2 linked regions of the Arabidopsis thaliana genome follow. The protein of the gene in region 1 interacts with the protein of each later gene in a pairwise test. Each region holds a gene or a part of one and is shown on either strand. Other genes may lie near its edges.

What was found. Proteins that work in one complex are often made in the same cells at the same time.
Region 2: the proteins of UBA1A (region 1) and AT2G38610 interact in binary tests that used the Arabidopsis thaliana proteins (3 or more experiments, as listed by UniProt).

What each region holds. Positions count from the first base shown.
Region 1 is NC_003071.7:9,386,263-9,393,468, forward strand, and holds UBA1A (RNA-binding (RRM/RBD/RNP motifs) family protein), read right to left. Parts: upstream 4,245-7,206; 5' UTR 4,189-4,244; coding exon 3,145-4,188; 3' UTR 2,788-3,144; downstream 1-2,787. Other genes in the region: AT2G22080 (uncharacterized protein), read left to right, coding at 703-831, 1,331-1,735; AT2G22088 (uncharacterized protein), read left to right, coding at 2,122-2,278, 2,540-2,787; AT2G22100 (RNA-binding (RRM/RBD/RNP motifs) family protein), read right to left, coding at 6,135-7,206. UniProt on the Arabidopsis thaliana protein: Acts as a component of a complex regulating the turnover of mRNAs in the nucleus. Binds with high affinity to RNA molecules that contain U-rich sequences in 3'-UTRs. May function in complex with UBP1 and contribute to the stabilization of mRNAs in the nucleus.
Region 2 is NC_003071.7:16,144,186-16,152,728, forward strand, and holds AT2G38610 (RNA-binding KH domain-containing protein), read right to left. Parts: upstream 5,750-8,543; 5' UTR 5,454-5,749; coding exon 5,368-5,453; intron 5,280-5,367; coding exon 5,188-5,279; intron 4,907-5,187; coding exon 4,755-4,906; intron 4,553-4,754; coding exon 4,436-4,552; intron 4,335-4,435; coding exon 4,218-4,334; intron 4,073-4,217; coding exon 3,929-4,072; intron 3,520-3,928; coding exon 3,367-3,519; 3' UTR 2,921-3,366; downstream 1-2,920. Other genes in the region: AT2G38600 (HAD superfamily, subfamily IIIB acid phosphatase), read left to right, coding at 1,722-2,086, 2,193-2,405, 2,495-2,672; CDKB1;2 (cyclin-dependent kinase B1;2), read left to right, coding at 8,366-8,543.

The sequences.
Region 1 (7,206 bases):
GAAGAGAATATGGTTCTGTTTGTTACCAAAAGCTTTTCTTTTTAGTTTTTACTAACCATTGACTACATACATACATTAATACATAGATGAAGAAAGATCTTGGTCGGCATAAAATGTATGACTTAACAGAGAGAGCCCACACTTGTGTAGCTTACGTGGCAGGTCAATTAGAGATGATCACATAGAGTCACTGCCCGTACTGCCCTAAGGATTCGTAGTAACAACTACGGGCAGCTTCACACTCTTCTCTTTCATCTCTCATCTCTCTCTTCTCCTATATCTGAGATTCTGAACAACTCTTCTTTGATCACAAATCTCACACTTTTTCCATTAATGAACAGAGCTCATTTCTTCTAGTCCTTTTCTCTTTCTTTCTTCCTTTTTCCGCTAATTACAGAGCTTTTCTTTGGTACGTTCTTCTTCTTCTTGTATCTGTTTATTTTGTTTCTTAGATTATTGTTTTGTATGTTGTCAAATATTGAAGTAGAGGACAACCTCTAAACTTGGTTGTTTCCTCTGTTTTTCATGATTCTTTCTATGATTGCTCTGTTTTGTCTTTTTTTTTTCTCGTCAATAACTTCAAAACGAAGATTGCTCCATATTTGATAAATGGACAAGAAAGTTGTCTGAAAATTTTGCTTTAGTTATTATTATTGCAGATCTAACGGTTTTCATAACTGTTAAATACAGAGTGAAGAAAGAATGGAGTTGAAAGAACAAGGTATGAGTATGAGGTTGTCTCTGGTTCTCGGTAACGCTTTAGTGCTAAACTGCGCCGCTTTGGCTTTAACGGCTACTATGCTCTCTTCTTTGCTAGAGCTCTTCTCTCAGGCAAGCTTTTTCTATTTTCAACTTTTTTTTTTTTCCTTCTTAACAAACGTTTACAAGTATTCGCGGTCGCACAAAACAACAACTTTATAAAAATAGATTTTTTTCTACACAAAAGTTTCACACAAATTTTTTTGGCTACAAAACTAAATCTTGACCGACTTGAAGCGTTACTTCATCAGAATGGGTGGTTGGAAAAATATATAAAATTAAAAAGTTTTGGTTAAATATTGTGAGGGTATGTATATAATAATAGCTATTAGTTGAGGACGGTTGCTTTTAATGGGGAATATTAAGATAGATTTTTAAAATCTAAATTATAAATTGTAGGTCCAAAAAAAATCAAAAAGGTATATTCCATATATTATGCTTCCAAGTTTTTCAAATTTAATGTCTAGAAGAAGCCCATGTCCTAATTTAGTATGTCGGCCCAATTTGTAAAATCATGTTAACTTGGTAAAAGATTGTTTCTGGTAGTGATAAAATGAATATGAAGCTGCAGGTTACTGTCTTGAAGGGTGATGTTATAGAGAATGGATATGAGGTGGTTGATGCAGTGGAAGGCAATGGAAACAATGATGATAGTGGTGATGATGGAGGAGAAGACGAAGAAGGCAGTGCAGATGATGCAGAAGGAAAGGAGACCAAGAAAGGACCGGTAAGTGATCCTGATTTGAACGGTGAAGCTGGAGATAATGATGATGAACCTGAAGGGGATGATGGTAACGATGACGAGGATGATGATAACCATGAGAACGATGATGAAGATGAGGAGGAGGATGAAGACGAGAATGATGATGGTGGTGAAGAAGACGACGATGAGGATGCGGAGGTAGAGGAGGAGGAAGAGGAAGAAGATGAAGATGATGAGGAAGCGCTTCAGCCACCAAAGAAGAGGAAGAAGTGAACAAACCGCTTTGATCTCCTAACATTTTAGATTCAAAAATCAAAACTTGTTATCGGTTTTTACCTGAAGAGGAGAGAATCTTAAGGCATCATCAGCTTTAGCTTCAACTGTGTCTTTGTTGTTCCATAAACCAAGACTTTGTTTAGTGTAACATTTTCAGATCCAATGGCACCAGCTTTCTTTTCTTTAGCCCATCATTAATGATATATGCATATCTCTATGAGGTCATCAAATGCGATCAAATTTATATAACAACTTCAAGGGTCAACTTTAGCTGTCATAAATAGTTAAAAGAAAGTTAAATCCTATTGAGTCCTCATAGAGCAAACCTTTTTCCCCAGAGGTCACAATACAGATTGCACAGAGGTCTTTAACGAATAATCACAATGATATTACTTGAGCCACAGACTGTCTATCGTATGATATCGGACAAGAGTGACATCAAACAGAAAAAAAAAGAAAGGAAGAAAAAACAATACAAAAAAAAACTAAAACGTACTGACTTTGATAGAAATGTTAAAAAGAAATCCCCAGAAACTGCATGTTTATCATTCTCATGCTCAGCCCACACCATCTGCAAAAGTTGGAGTTCAAGAAAACAAAACAAAACATAACTCTATCAAAAGCTGAAGACAAAAAGAAAAACATATGGAAACAAGAGCAATGCTCTATCTTTCTGGTAAGATAACCCCGAAAAGTGAAAACAATAGAAATCAAAGGGACAAACATAAAAAAAATGTTAAAACTCAAACTTAAGTCTAAAACCATGAGTGCAACAGCATGAACAGATGCTATAGTTTACAGTCCGTTTAAAGACGTTAGCACCAAAACCAGATGAGTGGAGAGATGGTGGACGTTCAGTTTATAAAACCCAGTGCAACACTAAAACAAAAAAAGCCAAGAGACAAAAAGAATGTAACAATATTCGTCCCCACCATCACCAACCTATAGAGAAACTAACTTCGATAAAACAAATGGCACTTGAGAAAACTGTAAAACCAGGGACAGTAAAGAAAAGAAAACAAAACATAAACCAACAAAAGGAAAAATAATGGAGAAAACAAAAAAAACAAAAGTATGGTGGGTCACATTGCATCTACTTGAAATAGAGTCGAAGCAAGATTCATGAATAATGAATTACGGCAACCGATGACAATGCTAACCTACCTCTAGAACATAATTTAGGTATTTAATTCCTGTAGCAGTTCCTCCTAGGAATATACATATTTAGGCATTTAAGCCAACTATTTGACTAGAGAGGCATAATAATGTCAGATAAAATTCCGGTACTACCACAAAAGCCTTAATCCATTTATCTACACATGACGGAGCTACAATGAATTTATGCTTATCCAAAGACATTCAAACCACAATATTAGCACAAACATTGCTACAAAACACCAAAGGTTTCAGTGAACGTACCATGAATAGTTTGAGTAGCCATGAAAGGAGGAGCCACCAGCATCCGAATCTTTACCCGTCCCTCTTTTTCCACCAGCATCCGAATCAGGATAAGTACTAGGCAGACTCTGACCTCTAAAGTAAGAACCTAGAGCTGAAAGACCAGCAGCACCAACGCTTGGATCAACACCAATCCCACCCATTTGACTAGACTGTACCATATCAGAACCCAACCCGCCATGTGCTAGAGCACCCGCTAACATCGGATACATGTAACCTCCCCCAGCTGCTGCTGCTGCTGCTAAAGCTGGATTTCCCAACATCCCAGCTCCATAAAGCGGATGGTATTGGTTCCCTAACATAAACGGCGAAGCAGCCATTCCACCACCGTTAAACACATGTTGACCTTGTACCTGCTGTTGCTGAGGCTGTCCATGATTAGCCATCGAACCCATACTAATCTTCACCGGACCAGGTTGATCATGCCCCTTTCCTGAAGCCGCAGGACCCATAGAAGCAAGCTGGCAAGTGGCAGTTCTATTAAGAATCCTCTTCTTCGGTTCTTTAAGAGCTTCTTTAGCTCCTTTCCTAGTCTTGAACATAACAAATCCAAACCCTTTAGCCTTACCAGTAGCCTTATCTATAACAACGGTACACTCTTCAATCTCACCATAACCTTCAAAGACTCCAACAAGAGTCTCGCGAGTCGTCTCCCATGGAAGACCATAAACGAAGATTTTCCTGTGTGTAACATCACGATCTGCGGCTTCTACGACGGCGGAATAGATCGAAGATCCGATTCGAGAAGCGGAACAAACTAGATCGACAAGCTGGTCCTTGGAATAAGGTTGTAGAAGCTCACGGAGCTCTTCTGGGTCGAATTCGTTGTCTGATTCGGAATCGCTAGAATCAGAGCTGGAGCTTGAACTTGAATATGGCGTTGAGGATTCTGGTTGTTGTTGTTGTTTGTTAATCTTCTGTTTCTTATCGAAATTCGTGGATTTGGATTTCACGAGTTTGCGCTTCTTAGATTTGTCTAGGGTTTTCGCCATTGTAGTAGAGGATAAACGAGTCAAGAAGCTTTTAGGGATTTTGATTTTTGATTTTTGATTTCAGTTTCCTGTTTCCCCTCGGGTCAAGAGTTCGATTTACTTTATCCTCGAGATGTCGTTTTTCCGATTTTTTCAGTTTAATTTTTTTTTTATTCGAGTATTTTGCTTTGAATATATTTTCAAATATTTAGATTATTTTTGGATTGGTTTATTTTGAATATTTTTATTATTTTACATATTTTTAAATATTTGCTTTATATTTAAGATAAGGCCTTAGATCTTTGTAGAGGTTACATGGCAAGATGCTGGCTTTAAGTTATGATGGCTATACATCAACCGGAATACCATAAGCTCCCTAACTTTACGGGGTGTGAACTTTGTGGTACTTTTCTTTTAGAGCGCCGTCAGAAAAGATTCCTGGCTAGGCAGAGGTTTTAGCCATATTGGTGGTGTCGCTCTGCTACTTGTTTATTCATTCACCAGTTGAAACTTTTTTTTCTTTCTTTTTTATCTTTATGTGTTATGAGAAACTAAAAAAATAGTCACCGAGATCTTAGAGAGGGTTTTGTTTTTGTTCTTAAGATTTTCAGAGTTTCCCCATTGGAAAGAAAAACAAAGCCCTCATAAGATCATGATCACAAAACAACGAAATCAAATGACCAAAACCAAACCAAAGTTGATTTAGCTGAAGCATACTATAGATTAATACGAGTTGATTCATATGGATGGATGGATAGCTGCAGAGAAGACCAAAAACCGAGAAACAAGATTGATCCTCTTAAGAAATCGAAAAACTGAAAACAAGATTGATCCTCTTAAGAAAACAAGCATTCGCATCATCGGTCACTGTGAGGTCATTGTGAAAATCCAAAGAAAAAAAAAAAAAAAACAAGTATGCTTTGCTACCATAACCAGAGTTATATAGAATATGAATAACGAGCAGGTAAAAAAAAGGTAAATCCAGAACAAAGCTATGTAAGGTGAAAAACAAATTGGGTCCAAGTACCGATGACCAAAAACAATCTTGAACTTAGGCAAGAAAACTTGGCAACTGATATCAAAATGGACTCTTAAATACAAAAGAGAAAGGGGCGACACTACCATAAAAGAGGAATGTGATGAAAGAGATTGAGAAGCTTATAAAAACCTATGGGGAAGAAAACAATGCTTGAAGGAAAGAAAACTCAGGTTGTTTATTCCAGAGAAAATCAACTTGAAGCTTTTGAAAGAGTCCCAAAACTTTTTCCAGTACTCAAAAAGACAGATTTAAAACAAGAATGTAAAACCATTATGTCTGATCCTACAAACGGGTCTCAAGACAACTGCAGCTGGAAGATACAGACTTTTGGCAGTTATGACATATAGTGGACAAAACTATAAATGTCATAAGCTTCTTCTCCAGCTATAGCGAACAGATATTCAATGAAAATGCGGGAAAACATAAAACCAAAAACAAGGAAAAACAAAAGAGAAAAACATACGCCATGCCACAGAAGAAAACCAGACGTGAGTTTGATGGGTAAGGAGAAGACAGAAGACCATAATGGGGGACTCCAAAAGGGAAAACAAAGAGATAGCAAACTACTTTAAACCAATATTGATCCTAGTAACTAAATCTTCTAGACAAAATGACCACATTTCACTGGTTTATGAGAACAGAGCAGAACACCAATGACAGACTTCCAGAGAGCAACAGAAAATTCATCCTTTGAGCACACATCTCCCTCAAAATGGCTCATATAGGGGTAGATACCTCGTTAAAAGAGACTATAAATAATGAAACTAAAAAAGTAGGTTTGAAACATCAGGCATAGAAAATAAAGATCCGCAAAAAAAACTCCTGCAATTCCCAAAATATCAAGTTGGAGTCGAAGATACCGGACTAATCATTAGCCTAATCTATAACTTGAAATATCAGAGAACATGGTCATACCACTTGGGTTCTCTTATCTCAGATACCAAGCACGTTCACCATCAAAACCAGCACCAGCACCAGCACCCGCACCAACACCGTTAACATTACCATCACCAACATATTGTCCCACCATTCCCATATGATTCGGTGGCATCATAGGTCCTTGATTCATCATACCCGAGCCAAACATACGATAATTCTGTAAACCAGCAACCATCGGATTACCCATCATTGCACCATACATAGGATTAAAACCAGGAGGAGGCTGAGAATGTCCATAAAAGGGCATGTTCTGTCCAGCATACATTGACATATTCTGCTGCTGCTGATGTCCCTTATCAAGTCCATGACCCAAATCAATCCCAGGCAAAGCCATTTCACTCTGATTACCCGTATGACTCAAATCAATCTTCACAGACTCAACCGGTTGTTGTTGTTCTCGTGGCTTTCCAGAATTAAACGGCCTAGCTGGTAAACAACTAACAGTTCGATTATACATTCTCTTCTCCGGATTCTTCAACGCCGCTCTCGCTCCTTTACGCGTCTTAAACAACACAAAGCCAAAACCTTTAGCTCTTCCTGTATCTTTATCCATAACCACAGAACATTCCGTTATCTCCCCATAAACCTCAAAAGCCGCCTTGAGATTCTCATGCGTTGTATCCCATCCAAGACCACGCACGAATATGTTCCGTTGAGAACTATCTCTATCCGCTGATTCAAACACTGCTGAGATCAATTTAGAACCTTTCTCAGCAGTTTTGTAAATTAGGTTAATAAGCTCCTCTTTAGAGTAAGATTCAAGTAGATTCTTAATATCTTCCTTATCGAATTCGAAATCAGAATCAGACTCAATGGTAACAATCGGGACCGTAACAGGCTTTGAATCGACGATCTCTTCGGATTCATCTGATGATCTCTTATGTTTCTTCTTACTCTCCTTCGATTTCTTAGGAGATGGAGATGGAGATGGAGATTTCTCCTCTTCTTCTACTTCTTCGTATTTCTTCGATTTCTTCTTTGATTTCTCTGGTTTCTCTTCCTCTTTGGATTTCGATTTATGTTTTTTTGAGATTTTCTTCTCTCTTACAGCGAGTTCTTCA
Region 2 (8,543 bases), 6.8 Mb from region 1:
AGGAGTTAGAAGTGAAAGGGATGACTTGTCTCAATATATAATTTATTATGTTACAAAACTTCTATTTATTTTCTCAATTACTTTATTTTGGCATGTACGTCAATAGATTTTTGAACCAGAATCTGCCCCACATGTGATAATTTTCTCCAAATATTTTCTTAATGGTTTAGTTTTGATAATTATAATATATATATATATATATAAATATATATATACAGGTTTAAACTCCAAATCTATTTCTAAAATATGAAAATCTAAATTTTATTAATTATGAATCTATAATTCGATATGTCTAATATATATTGTTTGATTTTATTTAAATATTTAACTCGTCTAAAACACCACGATTAGATCTCTAAGAGTTGGGTTGCCGCCCCTCCAACAACGAACAAATATAAAGCACAAAGCATTTTCTTCAACATTGTCTCACACAATATTTTTTTTGGTAAAGAGATAGAAGAAGAAAGTGTTGCGAGTGGCATTCAAATCTATGAAAATTCAAAGGGACAGGAGAACATGAAAAAAAATATCTAAAGGAGTGTTAATGAGATGAGCTAATTGGTTAGTGTGCTTAATGGGAATGTTTTAGACTTTTAGCTGAATTATTCTTTTTAAGTTTTTAATGATTAAACCAAAGCAACTCTTAACGGAATTGCCACTTTAGTATATCGTTGACAACTCTTAGTTTCCATTAGACTACTACGTACGTGTCATCCACTTTTCTGTTGACAAAAACTAATAACAATCCCATTCCTTGTCAGCATCCAATCCATAAATGTAGTTGGTCGGTCCATTTTTTGTTGGTTTGACACATTTGTGCACAATCCCATTAATTTCTTGATAATTAGCAATAAGGCAATCCTAGTTAGCTAAGAAACTATACGATTATATTTTTGGTTTGTCTACTATATAACATGTACTGTGGGAGACACTTACACATGTAACTAGTTTAACCAAACTAGATGATCGTTCAAAACAGCATCCAGCTTATCTCTCGAGTGAAATCCTAAAACTTGGGTAGAATAGTACCATGGAAATTGCTTTAAGTGGGTTTATATCATAAACATAGAAATTTATATTATACGTGAGGAAAAAACTAGTGAGATCATCCACTTAGTGTTGTTATATACTAACTAAAAGATATCATATGCGCCACTTAGTAAATGCAATGATGTATTATTAGAGATAGTAGAGGATTAACGTGAATGTGTTTGGAATACATATAGTGGCGATAGATGTGTGTTAGTGAATATGTTCGGTGCTGGTTTTGACCCCATATCATAATTTTTAATGTAATAAATTCTTTTGCTTACTTCATAATTATTAAGTTAATTGGTCGTAAAAATGGTGCTACTTAGTGGATGAAACCTCATCCAGAATCTTCTACCGAACCAAAACTCTTTAAATACTAATCTATAACACGGCTACATTACTATTAAGCTGATCCGATCCACCACCACATCATAGGTATTATTACTCTGATCTTCCCTTTTCAAGCATTACTACTTTCTCCTCTTAGTTTTCTTGTTTCACCAACCAAGCTCTCTTTCTTGATCTCTATCTTTATGTCAACTCTATGCTCTCTTGTATTGTGTTCTTTTCCTTTTCAACAAATTTTGTTCACTAGTCACTAGTATTTCCTAACACTTTGTACTCATGATGATCTCTACCTATCTTTGCATAAAACCCTCACGGGTACTTAGGAAGAATATTCAAGAGCAATGGAAAAGTGTAGTAGAGAGACGTTGCTTTTCATTTTTATAACAATATCATCAGTGGCAACCAGTACAAGTACATGGATGCCGATGGATGGAAATTATGGTGCTAGCTATTGCTTAAGCTGGAGACTAGCAGTAGAGACCAACAATGTACGTGCGTGGCGCATTGTTCCTCTGCAGTGTCTGCGTTACGTTGAGGTATATATGCTTGCTGGTCAGTATGACAGAGACGTCCAGTTGACTGTGGACCAAATCAAAGTTTATCTCAATGAGATTATCCTTCCTGGTGATGGCATGGACGCATGGATCTTGGATGTTGATGATACTTGCTTCTCAAACGTCTTTTACTATCGGCTTAAGAGATATGGGTACGTATACACACTTGTTTCTTTTTACTAAAACTAGTTTTAAGATGTTGTGATTCTTGGATACCAAAAGTTAGAAAATTGTGGCTAATGATGAGTTAACATGTAGATGTGACCCTTATGATCCAACTGGATTTAGAACATGGGCGATGAAAGGAGAGTCTCCAGCAATACAACCTGTTCTTGAATTGTTCTATAAACTGATAGAAACAGGCTTCAAAGTTTTCCTAGTAACCGGAAGAGACGAAGAGACCCTTCGCCAGGCAACACTAGAGAATTTGCATAACCAAGGATTCACTGGTTATGAAAGGCTGATTATGAGGTAAAAGGACGAAGCATACTTACTTTGAAGCTTTTTTTTACCAAGACAAAGTCACAGTCAGTGAGGACAATATTACTACGTACTTGCAGGACAGCGGATAACAAAAGACAAAGCGCAACAACATACAAAACAAGAATCAGAAAGGAGATGATGGAAGAAGGTTACAGGATATGGGGAAATGTAGGCGACCAATGGAGTGACTTACAAGGAGAATATTCAGGGGATCGTACCTTCAAGATTCCTAATCCTATGTACTTCGTTCCCTAATCAAAAAATTTACTATAACCATTCCTATCAATTATATGTACAACATACACAAAGGGTATGTCTCAACTTAAGCTATGTGTTAAGATGTGAGTTTCTCCTAGTCCCATCCAAAACCAACAAGCCCTTACCACCCAAATTCAAGAGACCAGCCCATAAATTCCCAAAATGTACAAAAGTGACTATCACTATAAGGAATCTCAAATCAAAGGAATAAGTTCAATGGTATATCTATAGGGCTAGGCAAAAAAATATATGAAAGAAACAAATAAACCAAATCAAACGATAAGAATCAATCCAATAAATGTGTTTTTTGTTTATGTTTATACAATAAGAATTTTCAGTCCACGCCCTCCCAAGCCACCACATCTTTTTCTCCCTATATATATTATATATCTCATACTCTTTTTTTTTTTTTTTGCATGAATCTTTTTTAAATAATCTGTAATGAATTTTTGATGAGGAAAAAGAAAAACAAAAGTTTAAAATAAAGAAGAAGAAAAACGAAAGCCACAGGGTCGCTCACCCGAGAGAGACCAGGGCAGGCCTTGACCAGACCACCACCATTGCAGCCACTACTGGAGAAACCAGATATACACATGTGCGTCTGTGTAATGCATGCAGACATGTACTTTTGGTTGAAGTAACCATTATAAGGCTTGAAGGAGCGTTTTGGGCGAGACGTACAAAACGCTACTTAGCATCCTGTTTTCGGGCGTTTACCACTTGAATTGAAAGGCGAAACGCTTCCACCTCCGCTTGGCCCCGGACTCTCTTCCCTCAGGTTGTTCGAGTTTAGCAATGCCAGTTCCCTCAGCTGCTGTCTCTTTATGAAATCTTGCGACTCGTCCTTCATTATTACAAACAACCAAGAAAATGTTATGGTACTAACCAAGAATATATCAAAGACATAAAAATGAAGTGTTTGAAAAAAAGATGGCTTTTTTGGCGTTTCCGATTACACCAATTGCTACTTTGACTGGTGAAGTGGTCACACATGTCTGCATAATTGAACACTAGCCACAAATTCCAAAAATGGTACTGAAATCTGAACGCTAAGACAAAGAATAGAGGCCCTACAGGTAATAACTATAGAGTCTCAATGGGGCAAAACAGCTAGGGAAGAACCTAAAATAAAAACGTGTCCTTTCGATTTAATACCCTCCAAGGAAGACTATACTATTCTCTTAATGCCTTGTACTGATACCAAAACATATCACAGAATAAATAATTGAGAGTAGTGGAGGAGGAAAATGTACCACAGGCTTTAGTAACTCTTCTATAATTTCTTGAGCTTGTCGCAGACGTATCTCCACAATACTAGCTGGAAGATCTGCCTCTATTAAGATGTGAAGCTGCTCATTCAAGTGTTCATAGCCAGGTCTTCCCCTTAATTTATCTTCCTACATTGTATCATCCAAAAACACAATCATACGATATGTTATTCAATACTCTTTTAATTACCAGAACATCATTTCAGAGCCAACCAGTAGGTTAAACTGTGAAAGTGTTTGACACAGTCTCAAATGGTTCATTCATGGCTCTCACCTTTTCGGGATCCTTGATTGACCCTTTCCCTCTGATGAATACTCGGCAACCGGTGGTAGCTTCAACGCGTTTTAACGAGTTGCCTCTAGGGCCGAGAAGTCGTCCAACAAAATTGAACTGATAAAACAGAGGAAATAAGAATGGAAAGTTGAGAAATATTATCATCAAATATGGAGCAAATGATGAGCAAACACATCAAGATGACTAGAAGTACTCACATTAGGATAGTTATCTACAGGAATCTCCAGACGCAATATCCTTTTGACGGTGTATGAACTGGGGCTTCCAGGTGCACCTTGCCAATCCATTGTCATTCCAGGTGTTCCACTAAGTCTCTGCAAGAAACTGAGTGTTTTAGCTCATCTCATCATGCTTAGCAGAAGCACAGGTAATATCAATCAGCATTGCGAAAGACAGAAGCTAAACTAAATGATTGTAGTAATCTAGCATAAAAACTAAGACGGTGTGAATGAAGGTGAAACTGAATATAAGAGGATGGTTGAGTTAAGAAACAGTAGATGATGATGATGATGATACCTCCTGAGAGAGGCCGTTCCAGCCTCCTAACCCGGTATTAGAGACATTAGACATAAGATTAGAAGAAGCCATAGGGCTGGGACTTCTGTGTCGAAGTCTATCAAAATCACCAAATCCTTGGTTAGACATCATTCCAGAGACCCTGAACATCTCTGCACATCAACAAAGATTCATATTATGCAATTGACACTAAGGGTAGTACTAACGTAGGTAATGCTGGATTCAATGAGACAAATTGAAGAAATCAAATCAATGAACTTGATCTCACTCTCATGGACTAATTGAATTAACTAAAACTGAACATTTTGTAAGAAAATTGGCTGACAAAAAGAAAGAAACTTTTAAGGACTTTAAGTCATCCCAATCTAGTGAAAACAGAAAGGGTATATACAGTTGAAAAATTAAGATCCGAATCAGAATGAAAAGGAGGAACCTTGATTCAATAGACGGCTACATATGGGTAGGACCTGCATAAAAGGAGTAAGCTTTTGATGTTCAGCGAGAAGCTCCGTCAAGTACTGAGAGCTGTTCAAGCAAGAAACAGAACACAGATCGGTTTTCACATAAAACCAAAATAAAAAGAGTGTCTCGAAATCAGAGTTTAGGAACAAACCTGTCGATCTCAGGAGTGCTTCTAATCTGAGGAGAAGCAGCTCGAGCAGGAGAGAAGTAAGATGAGTTATTGTATAAACCAGACATGGGTTATTTTGTGTGCCTTTCTTCTTCTTCTTCTTCTCTGTACAAAACCAAGATTGTTGGGAAAAGGGTTTTGATGGAAATCGCAGAACCAAAAAAAAGTAGAAAGAGAAAGAGAAAGACCAACGCCAGCAGCAGACACCAAATGTGAATTCTGCAGAAGACGCCAGACTTTTTTTTTCTTTTTTTCTTCTGTCTGAAAAATCTCTTTTTTTTTTTGTTTCTTTGATTAAAAGTTATTTTTATTTTCCATAAAGGAGATTTTTAATTAAACTCAGGCAGAAAAAATCAGCTAAAAAGTTTAAAGTGACAGAGTGGATCTCTCTGTTACAAAGGTTGAAAAATTTAGTGATTATTTTTTGGTGATAATTCAACCGTCACCGTTTGATTGATTCTGTATTATAATTAAATAAATAAGGAAATAAGAAAATGGAGAGAAACTTTGGTGTGTGTGCGTGACTACGTAGACCGTATCTTTTAACGCCGCTAAAACTTTACACGTGTCAACCATGCAATCGCTCATTTGAGCTGTCTTTTTGGCCTGGACATTTTTTAATTATTAATTATTAACAATAAATGTGTTTCTGCAATTTTTTGTTAGGTGGTGATGATTTTGAGTGCTCTTATTATGCTCATGGTCTTCCAAGTCCCCCAAATGTAACGCACACAATTAAACCATTTTACGTGTACAGAATTTTATAAGACAAAGCAATTTATGAATATTTTGGAAGAGAAAAAATATTAATAAAAAGGAATTTAATGAAAAAAACTCTCAACTTTGTCCTGATCCATTTTTAAACCCTAAACTATGTTTTTAGTAAAACAAATCCTAAACTAAAACCTGTTAATAAACTTAACTTCACAGTAATTAAATATTAATGAGATATTAATTTTTTAAAAAGAAAACAATGAGACATTTGTATTTAGCGCAAAAACCACGTGATGTTCTTTAAAACTGTTTTGAATTTATTACAAAAAAACATTCTAAATAATTTTGAATTGCTTAATTAGTTTGGATTTTAAAAGCTGAAAGAAAGACACAATAACTTAAAATAATCCAAAGAGTCATGCTTAAATAAATCCAACCAACATAACTATCGAAGCTGTTGCAACACAACAATATTTGTCACAAAAAAAAAACAATCGTTTCAGATGGACAAGATATTCTAAAGTAAAGACTTGTCAAGCATTAACTTTGAAGAGAAGATTGTATTGGCTGAGTGATAGGGTTCTCTTCATCCATTGTTTTCTGTTTTTTCCTTGGTCGTCCTTGAGGTTTCTTGGGTGGTTTTGGCATTGCTTTACACTTGCATGAACGTTTGTTGTGTCCGACTTGTTGACAATTGCTGCAAGTCTAAATATGCAAAGATTAAATTTAATAATTTGAAAATGAAGATCTTGTGAAACATAATTCATTGTTCTCTATTTTACCATTTAAACTTTTTCACGTGTATAAAGAACTTTTTGAGGTGGACGATCTTCAGTTGGATCACGGATTCTGTCATTGTTCTTTGGTCGATTTTTGGAAATTAATATCCCATTAATATTTAATTACTATGGGGTTAAGTTTATTAACAGGTTTTAGTTCAGAGTTTGTTTTACTAAAAACATAGTTCAGAATTTAAAAATAGATCTGACCAAAGCTGACGGTTTTTTTCATTAAATTCCCTTAATAAAATGGTTGCAAATAAGTTTATTGACCCTAGTAAATCAGTAACGGTTTTTCATAATCAACTTTAAAGTCTTTAAGCCATTTTCTTTCGTTTAGTCAATGCCCTATCATTGAATATTATCTTTGTTTTCTTTTTCATTATTGTAATTTTCTTTTATGTATAGTAGTCCAATAATTTTTTAATATTCAGCCATTGTTTAGTTTCCACATGAAACACACAATTTGTTTATAATCTTGTTTTTCTTTCCCCTTTACATAGAACTTCTTATGATGATTTTTATGAGTTTGTGAAATTGCATACCTTGCACATTCGTAGACCTAGTCAGAATTTTTGTTGTTGTTGTAGTATCTTTATTGTAAAAAGAAATGGTTTTCTTAATGTAACTATCGATCAAAACTGATGCAATTACCATACATGAAATTGGAATGAGTGTAAGAAGAATATAAAGTTGAAATAAATCAAAAATGTGAAACTGAATCAATATCATATGAAGTTGAATCATGTATACTAGAAGCCTAGAACACAAGAAACAACCCACCATTAATGAATAATGAGTAAGAGTTCACAGTCCCAAAATAATTGAAGTTACAAATTCGAACACAAAAAATCAAACCTAAACATTTTTCCAATTGGTTGAGTAAGTGAAAAAAAACTACGTAGTAAGAAATTCTTTTTTTGAGTTTGTGCCAAACATTGAACATTAACGTATAAGGAGAAAACTAATGGGATACAAGCTAAAACAGTTATAGTCTTATTAATTAGTATGTTAAATACTAGATTAAAGTTAAAATGAAGTTGGAAAAGCTCGAAGTTTCAACCAATTAATGCGAAATGATCGACTCTTCAAGTAATATTAATAGTTTAGCAAAATAAATGACTGAAAAATCTTTATTATGGGTTGTGGCTGCAAGCATGAGCTTAGCTTTTTGTACTCAGGGCCGGCTTTACATCAAAGATCATGCATAGATTCATTCAACTAAACATTCACCATGGATAATGAATTGAAATCTATAAACATAATCAAGCAAATATCTTATACTATACTTATCTGTTTAAAATGACTTTGAGTCTTTGACTAATAAAATATTATTGGTACGTGTGAAGCGTGCGAGGGATTCAAATGTTAAACGTTATAGCAAAGAGGCGCCTTTATTTACCAGATCTAAAATCGAAAAGGGGCTTTAGGGTTTATAAGACCCAAACAAAAAACATTCATCAGTCTCAATTCAAAATCCTCCATCAATGGAGAAATACGAGAAGCTCGAAAAGGTCGGTGAAGGAACCTATGGAAAAGTCTACAAAGCAATGGAGAAAACCACCGGAAAACTCGTCGCTCTGAAGAAAACTAGGCTCGAAATGGACGAAGAAGGTATACCACCAACGGCTCTCCGTGAGATCTCTCTTCTCCAAATGCTTTCTC